Stegostoma tigrinum: one gene and its partner. The protein of the gene in region 2 binds, or shares a complex with, the protein of the main gene of each other region. Links are inferred from orthologs where the notes say so. Each region holds a gene or a part of one and is shown on either strand. Other genes may lie near its edges.

Evidence for each region.
Region 1: phldb2b (region 2) and ppfibp1b share a complex: the UniProt entries of both Homo sapiens proteins name them as parts of the cortical microtubule stabilization complex. The link is inferred for Stegostoma tigrinum from reciprocal best matches to the Homo sapiens genes PHLDB2 and PPFIBP1.

Annotation. Positions count from the first base shown.
Region 1 is NC_081371.1:46,973,280-46,980,528, reverse strand, and holds the start of ppfibp1b (liprin-beta-1b), read right to left. Parts: upstream 3,035-7,249; 5' UTR 2,836-3,034; intron 1-2,835. UniProt on the Homo sapiens protein: May regulate the disassembly of focal adhesions. Did not bind receptor-like tyrosine phosphatases type 2A.
Region 2 is NC_081365.1:78,126,553-78,133,645, forward strand, and holds the start of phldb2b (pleckstrin homology-like domain family B member 1), read right to left. Parts: upstream 3,024-7,093; 5' UTR 2,928-3,023; intron 1-2,927. UniProt on the Homo sapiens protein: Seems to be involved in the assembly of the postsynaptic apparatus. May play a role in acetyl-choline receptor (AChR) aggregation in the postsynaptic membrane.

The DNA.
Region 1 (7,249 bases), on a different chromosome or scaffold from region 2:
CGGGGGGGGAAGAGGGGGTCGGGGGGGGAAGAGGGGGTCGGGGGGGGAAGAGGGGGTCGGGGGGGGAAGAGGGGGTCGGGGGGGGAAGAGGGGGTCGGGGGGGGAAGAGGGGGTCGGGGGGGGAAGAGGGGGTGGGGGGGGGAAGAGGGAGGAGGGGGGGGGAAGAGGGAGGAGGGGGGGGGAAGAGGGAGGAGGGGGGGGAAGAGGGAGGAGGGGGGGGGAAGAGGGAGGAGGGGGGGGGAGAGGGAGGAGGGGGGGGGAGAGAGGAGGGGGGGGAGAGAGGAGGGGGGGGAGAGAGGAGGGGGGGGAGAGAGGAGGGGGGGGGAGAGAGGAGGGGGGGGAGAGAGGAGGGGGGGGAGAGAGGAGGGGGGGGAGAGAGGAGGGGGGGGAGAGAGGAGGGGGGGGAGAGAGGAGGGGGGGGAGAGAGGAGGGGGGGGAGAGAGGAGGGGGGGGAGAGAGGAGGGGGGGGGAGAGAGGAGGGGGGGGGAGAGAGGAGGGGGGGGGAGAGAGGAGGGGGGGGAGAGAGGAGGGGGGGGAGAGAGGAGGGGGGGGAGAGAGGAGGGGGGGGAGAGAGGAGGGGGGGGGAGAGAGGAGGGGGGGGGAGAGAGGAGGGGGGGGGAGAGAGGAGGGGGGGGGGAGAGGAGGGGGGGGGGGAGGAGGGGGGGGGGGAGGAGAGGGGGGAGAGGATGGCGCCGGGGGGGGGGAGAGGATGGCGCCGGGGGGGGGGGAAGAGGATGGCGCCGGGGGGGGGGAAGAGGATGGCGCCGGGGGGGGGGAAGAGGATGGCGCCGGGGGGGGGGAAGAGGATGGCGCCGGGGGGGGGAAAGAGGATGGCGCCGGGGGGGGGAAAGAGGATGGCGCCGGGGGGGGGAAAGAGGATGGCGCCGGGGGGGGGAAGAGGATGGCGCCGGGGGGGGGGGGGGGGGAGGATGGCGTCGGGGGGGGAGAGGAGGAGGGGGGGAGAGGATGGCAGGGGGGGAGAGGATGGCGTCGGGGTGGGGGGGGGGAGAGGAGGGGTTCGGGAGAGGAGGGGGTCGGGGGGGACAGGATGGCGGGGGGGGGAGAGGATGGCGTCGGAGTGGGGGGGGGGGAGAGGAGGGGGTCGGGGGGGGAGAGGAGGGGGTCGGGGGGGGAGAGGAGGGGGTCGGGGGGGGAGAGGAGGGGGGGGGGACAGGATGGCAGGGGGGGAGAGGATGGCGTCGGGGTGGGGGGGGGGAGGAGGGGGTCGGGGGGGGGAGAGGAGGGGTTCGGGAGAGGAGGGGGTCGGGGGGGACAGGATGGCAGGGGGGGAGAGGATGGCGTCGGGGTGGGGGGGGGAGGAGGGGGTCGGGGGGGGAGAGGAGGGGGTCGGGGGGGGAGAGGAGGGGGTCGGGGGGGGAGAGGAGGGGGTCGGGGGGGGAGAGGAGGGGGTCGGGGGGGGAGAGGAGGGGGAGAGGAGGGGGGAGAGGAGGGGGTCGGGGGGGGAGAGGAGGGGGAGAGGAGGGGGAGAGGAGGGGGAGAGGAGGGGGTCGGGGGGGGGAGAGGAGGGGGTCGGGGGGGGGAGAGGAGGGGGTCGGGGGGGGGAGAGGAGGGGGTCGGGGGGGGGGAGAGGAGGGGGTCGGGGGGGGGAGAGGAGGGGGTCGGGGGGGGGGAGAGGAGGGGGTCGGGGGGGGGGAGAGGAGGGGGTCGGGGGGGGGAGAGGAGGGGGTCGGGGGGGGGGAGAGGAGGGGGTCGGGGGGGGGGAGAGGAGGGGGTCGGGGGGGGGAGAGGAGGGGGTCGGGGGGGGGGAGAGGAGGGGGTCGGGGGGGGGGAGAGGAGGGGGTCGGGGGGGGGAGAGAAGAGGATGGCGTCGGGGGGGGAGAGGATGGGGTCGGGGTCGGGGGGAGAGGATGGGGTCGGGGGGAGAGGATGGGGTCGGGGGGAGAGGATGGGGTCGGGGGGAGAGGATGGGGTTGCGGGGGGAAAGCGGCGGGGGGGTCGGAGGAGGAAGGGGTCGGGGTGGGGGGGGGAGGAGGAAGGGGTCGGGGTGGGGGGGGGAGGAGGAAGGGGTCGGGGTGGGGGGGGGGAGGAGGAAGGGGTCGGGGTGGGGGGGGGGGAGGAGGAAGGGGTCGGGAGGAAGGGGTCGGGAGGAAGGGGTCGGGAGGAAGGGGTCGGGGTGGGGGGGAGGAAGGGGTCGGGGTGGGGGGGAGGAGGAGGGGGTCGGGGTGGGGGGGGGGTGGGGAGAGGCGTGGAGTGTCGGGAGGATTAGAGTGGAGGGGGCCGGGGGTTGGTGAGGGAGGGGAGGAGCGGGGAAGAGAAGGCGGACGGGACGGGATGGGATGGGACGGGACGGGACGGGGGGGGGGGGTGGTGGTGTGAGAGGGCAGTCAGACAGGACGGGGGCGTGAAGTGGCAGACAGGACGAGGGGGAGGGGAACGGGGCGGGGGGAATGTCAGGCAGGCGGGGGGGGGGGTGCGGAGGAGGGGAAAGCGTCGGGGCGAGGTTGGAGAATATCGGAAATGGTGGAGCATTCGGACAGCGGGGAGGGGGAAAAGAGAAGAGAATGTGACGGGTCTATGTCGGACGGGGGCTGGGGGTGTGGATTCGGACCACACGGCGGGGCTGGGAAGAAAGGTGACGGGTCTATATTGGACATGGTGAGGGTATTCCGACCCGGGGGCGGGGTGGGGATGAACGGGAGCTAAGGGGTTGCTCTGCTGGTAGTGCCCGATGCCCCGGGGGCAGAAGCGCGCGCCTGATTTAACGGTTCCCGCCGCCATGCCAGCTGCCGGCCCTATTCCCTGACCCTCCGGCCTCCTCCTGAAACCCGTCAAGCGGGAGGGAGCAGGGCCGCAAGGATCTCCGCGCCCACCTACCTGCCACAGGCAGAGACCCTCTTTCAGGAGGTGGTGGAGGAGGAGGGGCGGCGGCACCACGCGATGGAAGTCACCTTCTCTCCGCCCCGCGGAACGGGCGTGAGGGGAGTGGACACCAATCGGTCGGTTACTCGGCCAGCCGCCCCACCTCACACAATACAGTCTCTCACTCCTTCGGCCGCCAGCCTACCACCCGCCCGTCACGTGACGTCCGGCAAACCCCGCCCCTTAGCCACCATCGATTGGCCCCCACCTGGCCCCGCCTACTGTCCGCTACTCATCCTTGCGATTGGTCCCGCCGGCTGTCTGTCTCGTGGCGAGGGCGGGGTCCCTTGTTGAGGCGGTGACTGTGGCAGTGAGTTGGAGTGCCGAGGGAGTGTATCAATGAGCAGTAAAGTTAAAAAGCGAAAGCAAGAAGGAGAGGCAGACCCAGTCTAACTTTTGTGGAGTATTCATCATCAGGATTTGTCATTGACAAAGACATCAAAGGAGAAATGGGGAAACAGGCTCGAAGGGCTGAATGGCCTCCCCCGCTCCTATTTTCCATATTGTTCTATGGTCCTACCGAGATTCTCCTTCAAGGGGTAATGCTTTGCACCCACTCGAACAATAAAATCTTAGAAACCCTACAGTGCAGAAAAAGGCCATTCAGCCCATCAAGTCTGCACCAACCCTCCGAAAAGCATCTCACCCAAACCTGGCCCCTCCCCTATAATCCTTAATTTACAATAGCTAACCCACCTTGCCTGCACATCCCTGGGCACTACAGACAACTTAGCATGGTCAATCCACCTAACTTGCACATTTTTGGACTGTGGGAGGAAACTGAAGCATGCTACAGAAACCCATGCAGACACAGTAAGAACGTACAAACTCCACATAGACAGTTGCTCAAAACCTGAGTCTCTGGTACTGGAGACAGCAGTGCCAACTACTGAGCAACTGCGCCATTGCTTTAAGTCTCCTTAGAATCATGTATGTTTCAATAAAGTTGCTATACATTCTTCTAAGTACAGGAGTAGAGCTGCTGTCATCGTTCCACGTAACCAAAGTCCCTCATCCCTGTTGCCATCACAATAAATCAGCACCACATTGTCATGATCCTTTTTATTAATTTGTGGTTTTTGGAAATTACTGAAATGGTCAGCATTTATTACTCAACTCTAATTCTGAGGAAGGGCCACTTTACCCGAAACGTTATCTCTAAATTCTGAGGAAGGGTCACTCAATCCAAATGATTAACTCTGATTTCGCTCCACAGATGCTGCTGAACCTGCTGAGCTTTTCCAGCAATTTCTATTTTTGTCCCAAAATTACACTTTGACATCCTTATTAGAGGATTGTCTGCAGAATTAGATGCAATACACTAGCTTGAACTACTTGTTGACACTTGTAAAAGAACATCCATTCATAGGAAATTTTGTCTGCCACACTAATGGCAGCACATTTTTAATGAATCCTGAGGAGCGTTACTGAAGGAGTGCTGCCCTGTTTGAGGGAGTGCTGCAGTATCGAAAGAATCCTTCTGCAATTGACCTTGATCCAAATGGCTCACTAGGCTGAATGGCCTTTTTCTGCACTATAGGGTTTCTAAGATTTTATTGTTCGAGTGGGTGCAAAGCATTACCCCTTGAAGGAGAATCTCGGTAGGACCACAGAGCAATATGGAAAATAGGAGCAGGAGGAGGCCATTTAGCCCGTCGAGCCTGTTTCCCCATTTCTCCTTTGATGTCTTTGTCAATGACAAATCCTGATGATGAATACTCCACAGAAGTTAGACTGGGTCTGCCTCTCCTTCTTGCTTTTGCCTTTTAACTTAACAGAACTTAAGAGTCAACCACTGATTCAACAGACACCAATCTATTCTATCTAAAAGATGTACTGTGACAACTCAGCAAGGCTTCTTAGACAGCATTTTCTAAATACCTCAATCTCTGTGATCAAGAAGGACAAGGACACCAGATACATGAGAACACCACTTCCTGGAAATTTACTTTCAAGCCCCATACAATCCTGACTTGAAAATATAACGGAGATAATGGAAACTGCAGTTGCTGGAGAATCTGAGATAGCAAAGTGTAGAGCTGGATGAACACAGCAGGCCTAGCGGCATCTAAGGAGCACAAAAGCTGACGTTTCGGGCCTAGACCCCTCATCAGAAAAGGCCTTTTCTGATGAAGGGTCTAGGCCCGAAACGTCAGCTTTTGTGCTCCTAAGATGCTGCTTGGCCTGCTATGTTCACCCACTTCCACACTTCTGTTACCTTGAAAATATATCAGTTAAGTCTTCACTGGTTTTTCCCATTTATGACATGTTGTAACTCTAACATTCCCTCTTTGAACATTTCCACATCTCTGCCTTTCCCTCCTTCTTTGAGATGGTCGTTATAATCTGCTTCTCTGACCTAACTTTTGACCGTCTGCACTAATGTCTCTTTACATAGCTCTGTGTTCAATTCCTATAAAAAGACTTGGGTTAAAATTGAGCCTAATATCCCCCTGTCAACAATTTGCCAACTATTAGAATGATCTTTCACCATTTTCTCATGTTGTTGAATCTTTTCATGCAAAATGTGAAGTTTGAGATTGTTTGAAATTTGGCATTTTTCTGTTCATCCTGATAAATTCAAGAGGAATACCTTTGGCAGTATGTGCTTCTTCTCAGCAACTTTCATTTTATTATTCAGTAATGGAATCTGGATGTGCTGGCTGCACTAGCATTTATTGCCCATCCCTAGTTGCCCATAGGAAAGTGGTGATGAATAATCTTCTTGAACTGCTGCAGTCCCTTCGCTATAGGTAGACCCACAATACTTAATATATTCTCTTCTATACCTCTCAGGGCAAAAGTTACACTTTTCCAAAACAGTGAGAAATGGAAGCAGAGGAAGGCTGTTTGACTCTTCAAGCCTTTTCGTCCATCCAATAAGATATGCCTGATCTTTTCCCTCAATTTACCTTCTGCTCTCAACCCAAATCCCCGAATTTCCTGAGTACTCAAAAATCTTAATGGTCTCAGTCTTGAATATTATCAAAGACTGAGTATTTAAAACCTTTCAATGTTGCTGAACATGTTGGTGAAACTGTTCGCTTTGTACTCATCAGGTCAAATGCAAGAATGCCAGGTTTCAAACCGTTATAATGATTTATATCATGGAGAAAAGGCTCTGATTGGTCAGCTAATTTACTCCATTTCACTAATGCATTGCTGTAAAGAAAGCAATGCAGGACTAACGGCTCTCCAAGCTAGTGTGCCGTGATTACTTGAAATTTGTCAGTCTTGTATCTATCCTAATGTGTGTAAAATGAAAAACCTGGACAACATCTCTCTCTTTTCAGCAATATTCAAGTTCTGAAGTACCAAGTGACTAATAAAAATATTACTTAAATGCAAGCTGTTGTCACACCACTGTGATTTAAGTCAGTGATCACATTATCTTTCTTTTACGTCCTAATCAGCACTCTGAAAAATGATACACTGTTTGATTCAGAGCATTTGCATTTGAATCACTGCTCATAGGCAGCAGAGTATGAGCAGTATATTTACCAGTCCTTTTGGCTGCGATTATAAGGCCTCCCCTATGTCAGAACTCTCATCATTCCCAGAAATATGGTCATGCACTCTTCTGCTTACTTTAAATTTAAGTGTGGAGTACAGTGAGTTCTAAAAGGATTAGCTATGGAATTTTGGATGGTTTGAGTGAACCATGAGGATATGTCCCCACAACATGAGCCTGAGACTCTAGTACTACTAGCATGGTGACATACCATTGCATCACCATCTACCAGTTATAAACCAGCATTCAGTTTATTAGCACAGGTACGGCATTTGAAAACCCTTCTGCTGTTAACTTACCCATTATAGGCCTCAGGAAATCCCTAACATCGGTTGTGAACAAAATACTGGTGAAGTGTTGTCATTCTCCTACATTATAATGGAGACTGCGCCCTTCATATAATGTTACGTTCCTTGACATTCTTCTCACAGTGTTAACTGTGCAGCTGAGTTTTTGTGCTGGTTAAAATTGAACATAATATCTCTGTCAACAATTTACCAACTATGCAAATGATCTTTCACCATTTTCTCATGTTGTCAAATCTTTTCCTCTTGCATTCATCTGAATAAATGTAAAAATGTGAAATTTGAGATGGTTTGAAATTTGACTTTCTTGTGTTTGCCCGGTTTCTTTTTTCAGGAAATTTTTTTTATTCATTTATGCAATTTGAACATTGTTGGCAGTGCCAGGACTTATTGCCCATCCCTAGTTGGGAAAGTGATGGTGAACTGTCTTCTTGATTGCTATAGTCCATTTGCTGTAGGTAGACCCTTAATGCCAATAGGGAGGGCAAGTCAAGATTTTGACAGGTCTCCGAAAAATGTAATTATATTCTCTTCTATATCTCTCAATGCACAC
Region 2 (7,093 bases):
GGAAGAGGGGGAAGGGGGGAGGGAAGGGGGAGGGGGGGAAGGGGAAGGGGGAGGGGGGGAAGGGGGGGAGGGAGGGGGGGAGGGAGGGGGGGAAGGGGGGGAGGGAGGGGGGGAAGGGGGGGAAGGGGGGGAGGGAGGGGGGGAAGGGGGGGAAGGGGGGGAGGGAGGGGGGGAAGGGGGGGAGGGAGGGGGGAGGGAAGGGGGGAGGGAAGGGGGGGGAGGGAAGGGGGGGAGGGAAGGGGGGGAGGGGGGGAGGGAAGGGGGAGGGGGGGAGGGAGGGAAGGGAGGGGGGAAGGGAGGGGGGGAGGGAGGGAAGGGAGGGGGGGAGGGGGGGGAGGGGGGGAGGGGGGGAGGGAGGGGGGAGGGGGGGAGGGAGGGGGGAGGGAAGGGGGGAGGGGGGGAGGGAGGGGGGAGGGAAGGGGGGAGGGGGGGAGGGAGGGAGGGAGGGGGGGGAGGGAGGGAGGGAGGGGGGGGAGGGAGGGGGGGGAGGGAAGGGGGGGGAGGGGGGGAGGGAAGGGGAGGGAAGGGGGGGAGGGGGGGAGGGAAGGGGGGGAGGGAAGGGGGGGGGGGAGGGAAGGGGGGGGAGGAGGGAAGGGGGGGAGGGGGGAGGGGGGGGAGGGGGGGAGGGGGGGAGGGGGGGAGGGAAGGGGAGGGAAGGGGGGGAAAGGAAGGGGGGGAGGGGGGAAAGGAAGGGGGGGAGGGGGGGAAAGGAAGGGGGGGAGGGGGGGAAAGGAAGGGGGGAGGGGAGGGGGGAGGGGAGGGGGGAGGGGGGAGGGGAGGGGGGAGGGGAGGGGAGGGGAGGGGGGGAGGGGGGGGAGGAGGGGGAGGGGGGGAGGGGAGGGGGAGAGGGGGGAGGGGAGGGGAGGGGAGGGGGGGAGGAGGGAGGGGAGGGGGGGGGGAGGGGGGGAGGAGGGAGGGGAGGGGGGGAGGGGGGGGAAGGGGGGAGGGGAGGGGGGGGAGGGGGGGGAGGGGGGGAGGGGGGGGAGGGGGAGGGGGGGAGGGGAGGGGGGAGGGGAGGGGGGGAGGGGAAGGGGGGAGGGGAGGGGGGGAGGGGAAGGGGGGAAGGGAAGGGGGGGAAGGGAAGGGGGGGAGGGGGGGAAGGGAAGGGAAGGGGGGAGGGGGGAAGGGGGGAAGGGAAGGGGGGAGGGGGGAAGGGAAGGGGGGAGGGGGGAAGGGAAGGGGGGAAGGGAAGGGGGGAGGGGGGAAGGGAAGGGGGGAAGGGAAGGGGGAAGGGAAGGGGGGAGGGGAAGGGGGGAGGGGAAGGGGGGAGGGGAAGGGGGGAGGGGAAGGGGGGAGGGGAAGAGGGGAGGGGGGGGGGAAGGGAAGGGGGGAGGGGAGGGGGGAAGGGAAGGGGGGAGGGGAGGGGGGAAGGGAAGGGGGGAGGGGAGGGGGGGAAGGGAAGGGGGGAGGGGAGGGGGGGAAGGGAAGGGGGGAGGGGGGGAAGGGAAGGGGGGGAGGGGGGGAAGGGAAGGGGGGGAGGGGGGGAAGGGAAGGGGGGGAGGGGAGGGGGGGAAGGGAAGGAGGGGAGGGGGGGAAGGGAAGGGGGGAGGGGGGAAGGGAAGGGGGAGGGGAAGGGGGAAGGGAAGGGGGGAGGGGAAGGGGGGAGGGGAAGGGGGGAGGGGAAGGGGGGAGGGGAGGGGAAGGGGGGAGGGGAGGGGAGGGGGGGAAGGGAAGAGGGGAGGGGGGAAGGGAAGAGGGGAGGGGGGAAGGGAAGAGGGGAGGGGAGGGGAGGGGGGGAAGGGAAGAGGGGAGGGGGGAAGGGAAGAGGGGAGGGGAGGGGGGGAAGGGAAGAGGGGAGGGGGGGAAGGGAAGAGGGGGAGGGGGGAAGGGAAGGGGGGGAGGGGGGAAGGGAAGGGGGGGAGGGGGGAAGGGAAGGGGGGGAGGGGGGAAGGGAAGGGGGGGAGGGGGGAAGGGAAGGGGGGGAGGGGGGAAGGGAAGGGGGGAGGGGGGGAAGGGAAGGGGGGAGGGGGGGAAGGGAAGGGGGGAGGGGGGGAAGGGAAGGGGGGAGGGGGGGAAGGGGAGGGGGAAAGGGGAGGGGGGGAAGGGGAGGGGGGGAAGGGGAGGGGGAAAGGGGAGGGGGGAAGGGGAGGGGGGGAGGGGGGGGAGGGGGGGGAGGGGGGGGAGGGGGGGGGAGGGGGGAGAGGGGGGGGAGGGGGGGAGGGGGGGGAGGGGGAGGGGGGGAAGGGGAGGGGGGAAGGGGGGGAAGGGGAGGGGGGAAGGGGGGAGGGGGGGAAGGGAAGGGGGGAGGGGGGGAAGGGGAGGGGGCGCGGGGGAGGAGAGGGGGGCGGGGGGAGGAGAGGGGGGCGGGGGGAGGAGAGGGGGGCGGGGGGAGGAGAGGGGGGGCGGGGGGAGGAGAGGGGGGGCGGGGGGGCGGGGGAAGGAGAGGGGGGGGCGGGGGAAGGAGAGGGGGGGGCGGGGGAAGGAGAGGGGGGAGAGGGGGGAGGAGAGGGGGGGCGGGGGAAGAGAGGGGGGGGCGGGGGAAGAGAGGGGGGGCGGGGGAAGAGAGGGGGGGGCGGGGGAAGAGAGGGGGGGGCGGGGGAAGAGATGCTTGACTGAAAGCAAACCCCAAAGGATCTCGCCGCCCCGGACCCTGGAGGTGTCGGCTGAGGCCATTCACAAGACTATGGGATTCCAGTCCCACTCAGGGTCTGTCTGGCTTCAAACCAGCCCCACCAAGTACTTCTACATCCCCAACCAGATTCCCCCACTTTGTGGGAGCTTGCTGTGCACAACCCAGGTGCCACGTTCTCCACACTGGGACAGCGAGGCACTTCCAAAGCAAAATGCCTTCGTTCCGCGCTACAGGGGGACGGCGCTACTGGAATGCAGAATTTCCCTCTGTGTGAATGGACGAGCTGCGCCCCCACACCCCCCCGGCCAGTGAGTACTCGCGGCCATTCAGCCTTCTCAGTGCAAACTGTACTTACAGGGAATGCAGAGCAGATTCAGCAGTGTCCCCGGGAAGAAGTCGGAACGGCGCCTGGAGCCCGGCAGCCGCAGCGCCGCCTCGCTCTCTGTCTCCGGCCACGTAGCGCTGGAAGGCGGAGGCTGGGCGGACGGAGGGCTGCAGAGTGCGCGCACGCTCGGCCCCTGCCACTGTCACTCAGTGAGAATTACCGAAACAAGTGGGTAAATCACTACACCATCCTCTACACCGGGCTGAACTCACCAAATCAGTGTGAACATCACTAAATCAGCCTCTACACCGAGCTGAACTCACCAAATCAGTGTGAACATCACTAAATCAGCCTCTACACCGAGCTGAACTCACCAAATCAGTGTGAACATCACTAAATCAGCCTGTACACCGGGCTGAACTCACCAAATCAGTGTGAACATCACTAAATCAGCCTCTACACCGAGCTGAACTCACCAAATCAGTGTGAACATCACTAAATCAGCCTGTACACCGGGCTGAACTCACCAAATCAGTGTGAACATCACTAAATCAGCCTCTACACCGGGCTGAACTCACCAAATCAGTGTGAACATCACTAAATCAGCCTCTACACCGGGCTGAGCTCACCAAATCAGTGTGAACATCACTAAATCAGCCTCTACACCGAGCTGAACTCACCAAATCAGTGTGAACATCACTAAATCAGCCTCTACACCGAGCTGAACTCACCAAATCAGTGTGAACATCACTAAATCAGCCTCTACACCGAGCTGAACTCACCAAATCAGTGTGAACGTAACTAAATCAGCCTCTACACCGAGCTGAACTCACCAAATCAGTGTGAACATCACTAAATCAGCCTCTACACCGAGCTGAACTCACCAAATCAGTGTGAACATCACTAAATCAGCCTCTACACCGGGCTGAACTCACCAAATCAGTGTGAACATCACTAAATCAGCCTCTACACCGGGCTGAACTCACCAAATCAGTGTGAACATCACTAAATCAGCCTCTACACCGAGCTGAACTCACCAAATCAGTGTGAACATCACTAAATCAGCCTGTACACCGGGCTGAACTCACCAAATCAGTGTGAACATCACTAAATCAGCCTCTACACCGGGCTGAACTCACCAAATCAATGTGAACATCACTAAATCAGCCTCTACACCGGGCTGAGCTCACCAAATCAGTGTGAACATCACTAAATCAGCCTCTACACCGAGCTGAACTCACCAAATCAGTGTGAACATCACTAAATCAGCCTCTACACCGAGCTGAACTCACCAAATCAGTGTGAACATCACTAAATCAGCCTGTACACCGGGCTGAACTCACCAAATCAGTGTGAACATCACTAAATCAGCCTCTACACCGAGCTGAACTCACCAAATCAGTGTGAATATCACTAAATCAGCCTCTGAACCAGGGTGAAAGTCACCAAATCAGTGTGAACATCACTAAATCAGCCTGTACACCGGGCTGAACTCACCAAATCAGTGTGAACATCACTAAATCAGCCTCTACACCGAGCTGAACTCACCAAATCAGTGTGAACATCACTAAATCAGCCTCTACACTGAGCTGAACTCACCAAATCAGTGTGAATATCACTAAATCAGCCTCTGAACCAGGGTGAAAGTCACCACAGTGGAAATCACCATATCACTGTCTCAACTGGTGTAAAAGTCACTAAGTCAGTGTGAAAACCACTAAATCCCCTCTGAATCAGAGAGAATGTCACTGAAACAGGGACAATACATCAAATTAGTCCCTGGACTGGTACAAAAGTCACTGACATGGGGCAAATCAACAAATCAGCCTCTCAACTAGTGTGAATGTCACCAAATGAGTGTAGAAATTACCAAATCCACCTCTAGACGAGGGTGACAGTCACTGAGGGGGAAAATCGCCTAGCTGTGGACATACTAATAAGGACATTGCTAAATCAGCATTGAAATCACCAAAGCATCCTCTGAGCCAGTGCAAAAGGCATCAAACCAGTGTTAAAATCACTAAATCACTGATTGGTCCAGTGTAAACATCACCAAATCAGTGAGGGAATCAGCAAATCAGCCTCTACACTGGTGTGAAGATCACCAAGTGAGTGTTACCATCACTAAATCACTGTGCAAACCAGTGTGAGCACTGCCAAACCTGTGTGGAAATCACTAAATCAGCCTCTAAACCAGTGTGAAAGTCAGCAACTCAGTGTGAATATTACCAAATCACCATGAAAACCAGCATAAACATCACTAATTCAGTATAGAAATCACCAAATCAGCCTCTACACTGGTGTGAAAACCACAATTTCATTCTTCAAATACCTCAATCAACCTCTAAACTGATATGATGCAAATCACCAAATCAACATGTATCAATTTATCCTGTCTACAACTTCATCAGAACAGTTTGAAAAGAGGCAAATCAAAGTGAATCAGTGTGAAATTCACAAGCTTAGTGTAAAATTGCAAAAGTAGGTGTTAACTTCACTTAACCAGTGTGAAATTCACCAAACCAGTGTGAAAGTCAGCAAACACGTCTGAAATTTCCTCAAATCAATAGAAAGCTTGGTTTGAAAAGATTGTGTAGAATTCCCAAAATTCCCAGGCTGAAAATCACCAAATCAGTGCAAAGATCACCAAAACAAACGAAATCTAGAAATCCATGTAAAATTGACCAAATCAGTGCACTCCCAAAATCAACACAAACATACACCAAATATGCATGGAATATTCAAGTGAATGTGAGGAAGTTCAGATACTCCTTGTGCAATGCAGCAGGTCATTGGCCACCTTCCTACACTGCTAGGCCATTAGGCCCATCTAGTGCACACTGACTCTCCAATGAGCATCCCACACAGACCAACCCCAACACCCACACACACAAACCCACACCCACCCTAGCCCCGTAACCCTGTATTTCCCATGGGTAATCCACCCTAATCTGCACATCATTGGACTGTGGGAAGAAACCGGAGCACCAGGAGGAAACCCACGCAGACACAGGGAGAATGTACAAACTCCACACAGACAGTCGCCCGAGTGTGGAATTGAACCTGGTGCTTGGCGCTTTGCGGCAGGAATGCTAACCACTGGGCCACTGTGCCACCCTTACCCCTTGTTGCCCCTTTCTCCCCATTTGCAGCTCCTCCCCCCTCTCTTTGCTTCCCATCCTTGTCCCCTCACACCCTTTTTAAACTCAATTTGCACTATGGTAACCATTCCCCCCAACCTGGCCTTGCTCCCTGGACTTTGTTAGTCTTAATTCCCTCTCCCTCAAACTTCAGAGGTCCTGCATTGTCTGCTCTTAGCCCTCTTGTTTTGGTCTCACTTGCTCTAGCCTTGCTCCTCATTGCCTCTTACCTATTCCTTGCACCCTCATTTACGGGCTGCTTCTCTGTCGCATTTGATGTTGGCATCTTGGAGTGAATGATTCCAACTGCTACAGCGGAACCTGTCTCCAATTGGATGCTCCTGTGAGTGGATTGCCCTGGATATTTGCAGGCCATTTGGAGGTGGGGGATGCACCAGCTGCCCCCATACTGTTGAGCGTTATAAACATGGCTGATAATCCATTGCATGAAAAGGCTCACACTGACTAAAGTTCATCTCTTCAGATAAATGTTAATCCAGAGGCCTGCTCAGGCAGATTGGACAATATTTGAAGAAGTGCAGCTTTAATTTAACCTTCAGCTGACATCACAGAAACACATCATCTGGCCCTTGAGCTCGTTGCTGTTGGTTAAGATCCCAATGAGAGCAAGTTGACTGCTTTGTTTTCTGATGTTACCACAGTAGCAATATTCAAGAAGCTAAAGACCCGCTTCAAGATTTTCTATGGCTGTCTAAAGTGCATTATATATGTTTAAATAGAAACTACTATAGCCAGATTTGCTGTTGACACGATAATGGGTGGAAAAATATGTTGCAATAAAGAAATAAAAAACTTACACATGGGTATGAATTGGATAGGTAAATGGGTCAAAATTTGGCCAATGAGGTTTAACGTGGATAACTGTAAGGTTATCCATTTTGGTCAGAGGTGGAGAAATCTAAATGGAGAGAAACTTCAGAGTGTTTCAGAAAAGAGGGATCTGGGTGTCTTCATGCATGAATTGCAGAAAACTAGTATGCAGGTAATAAGGAAGGCAAATGGAATTTTGGCATTTCTTGCTAAAGGAATAGAGAA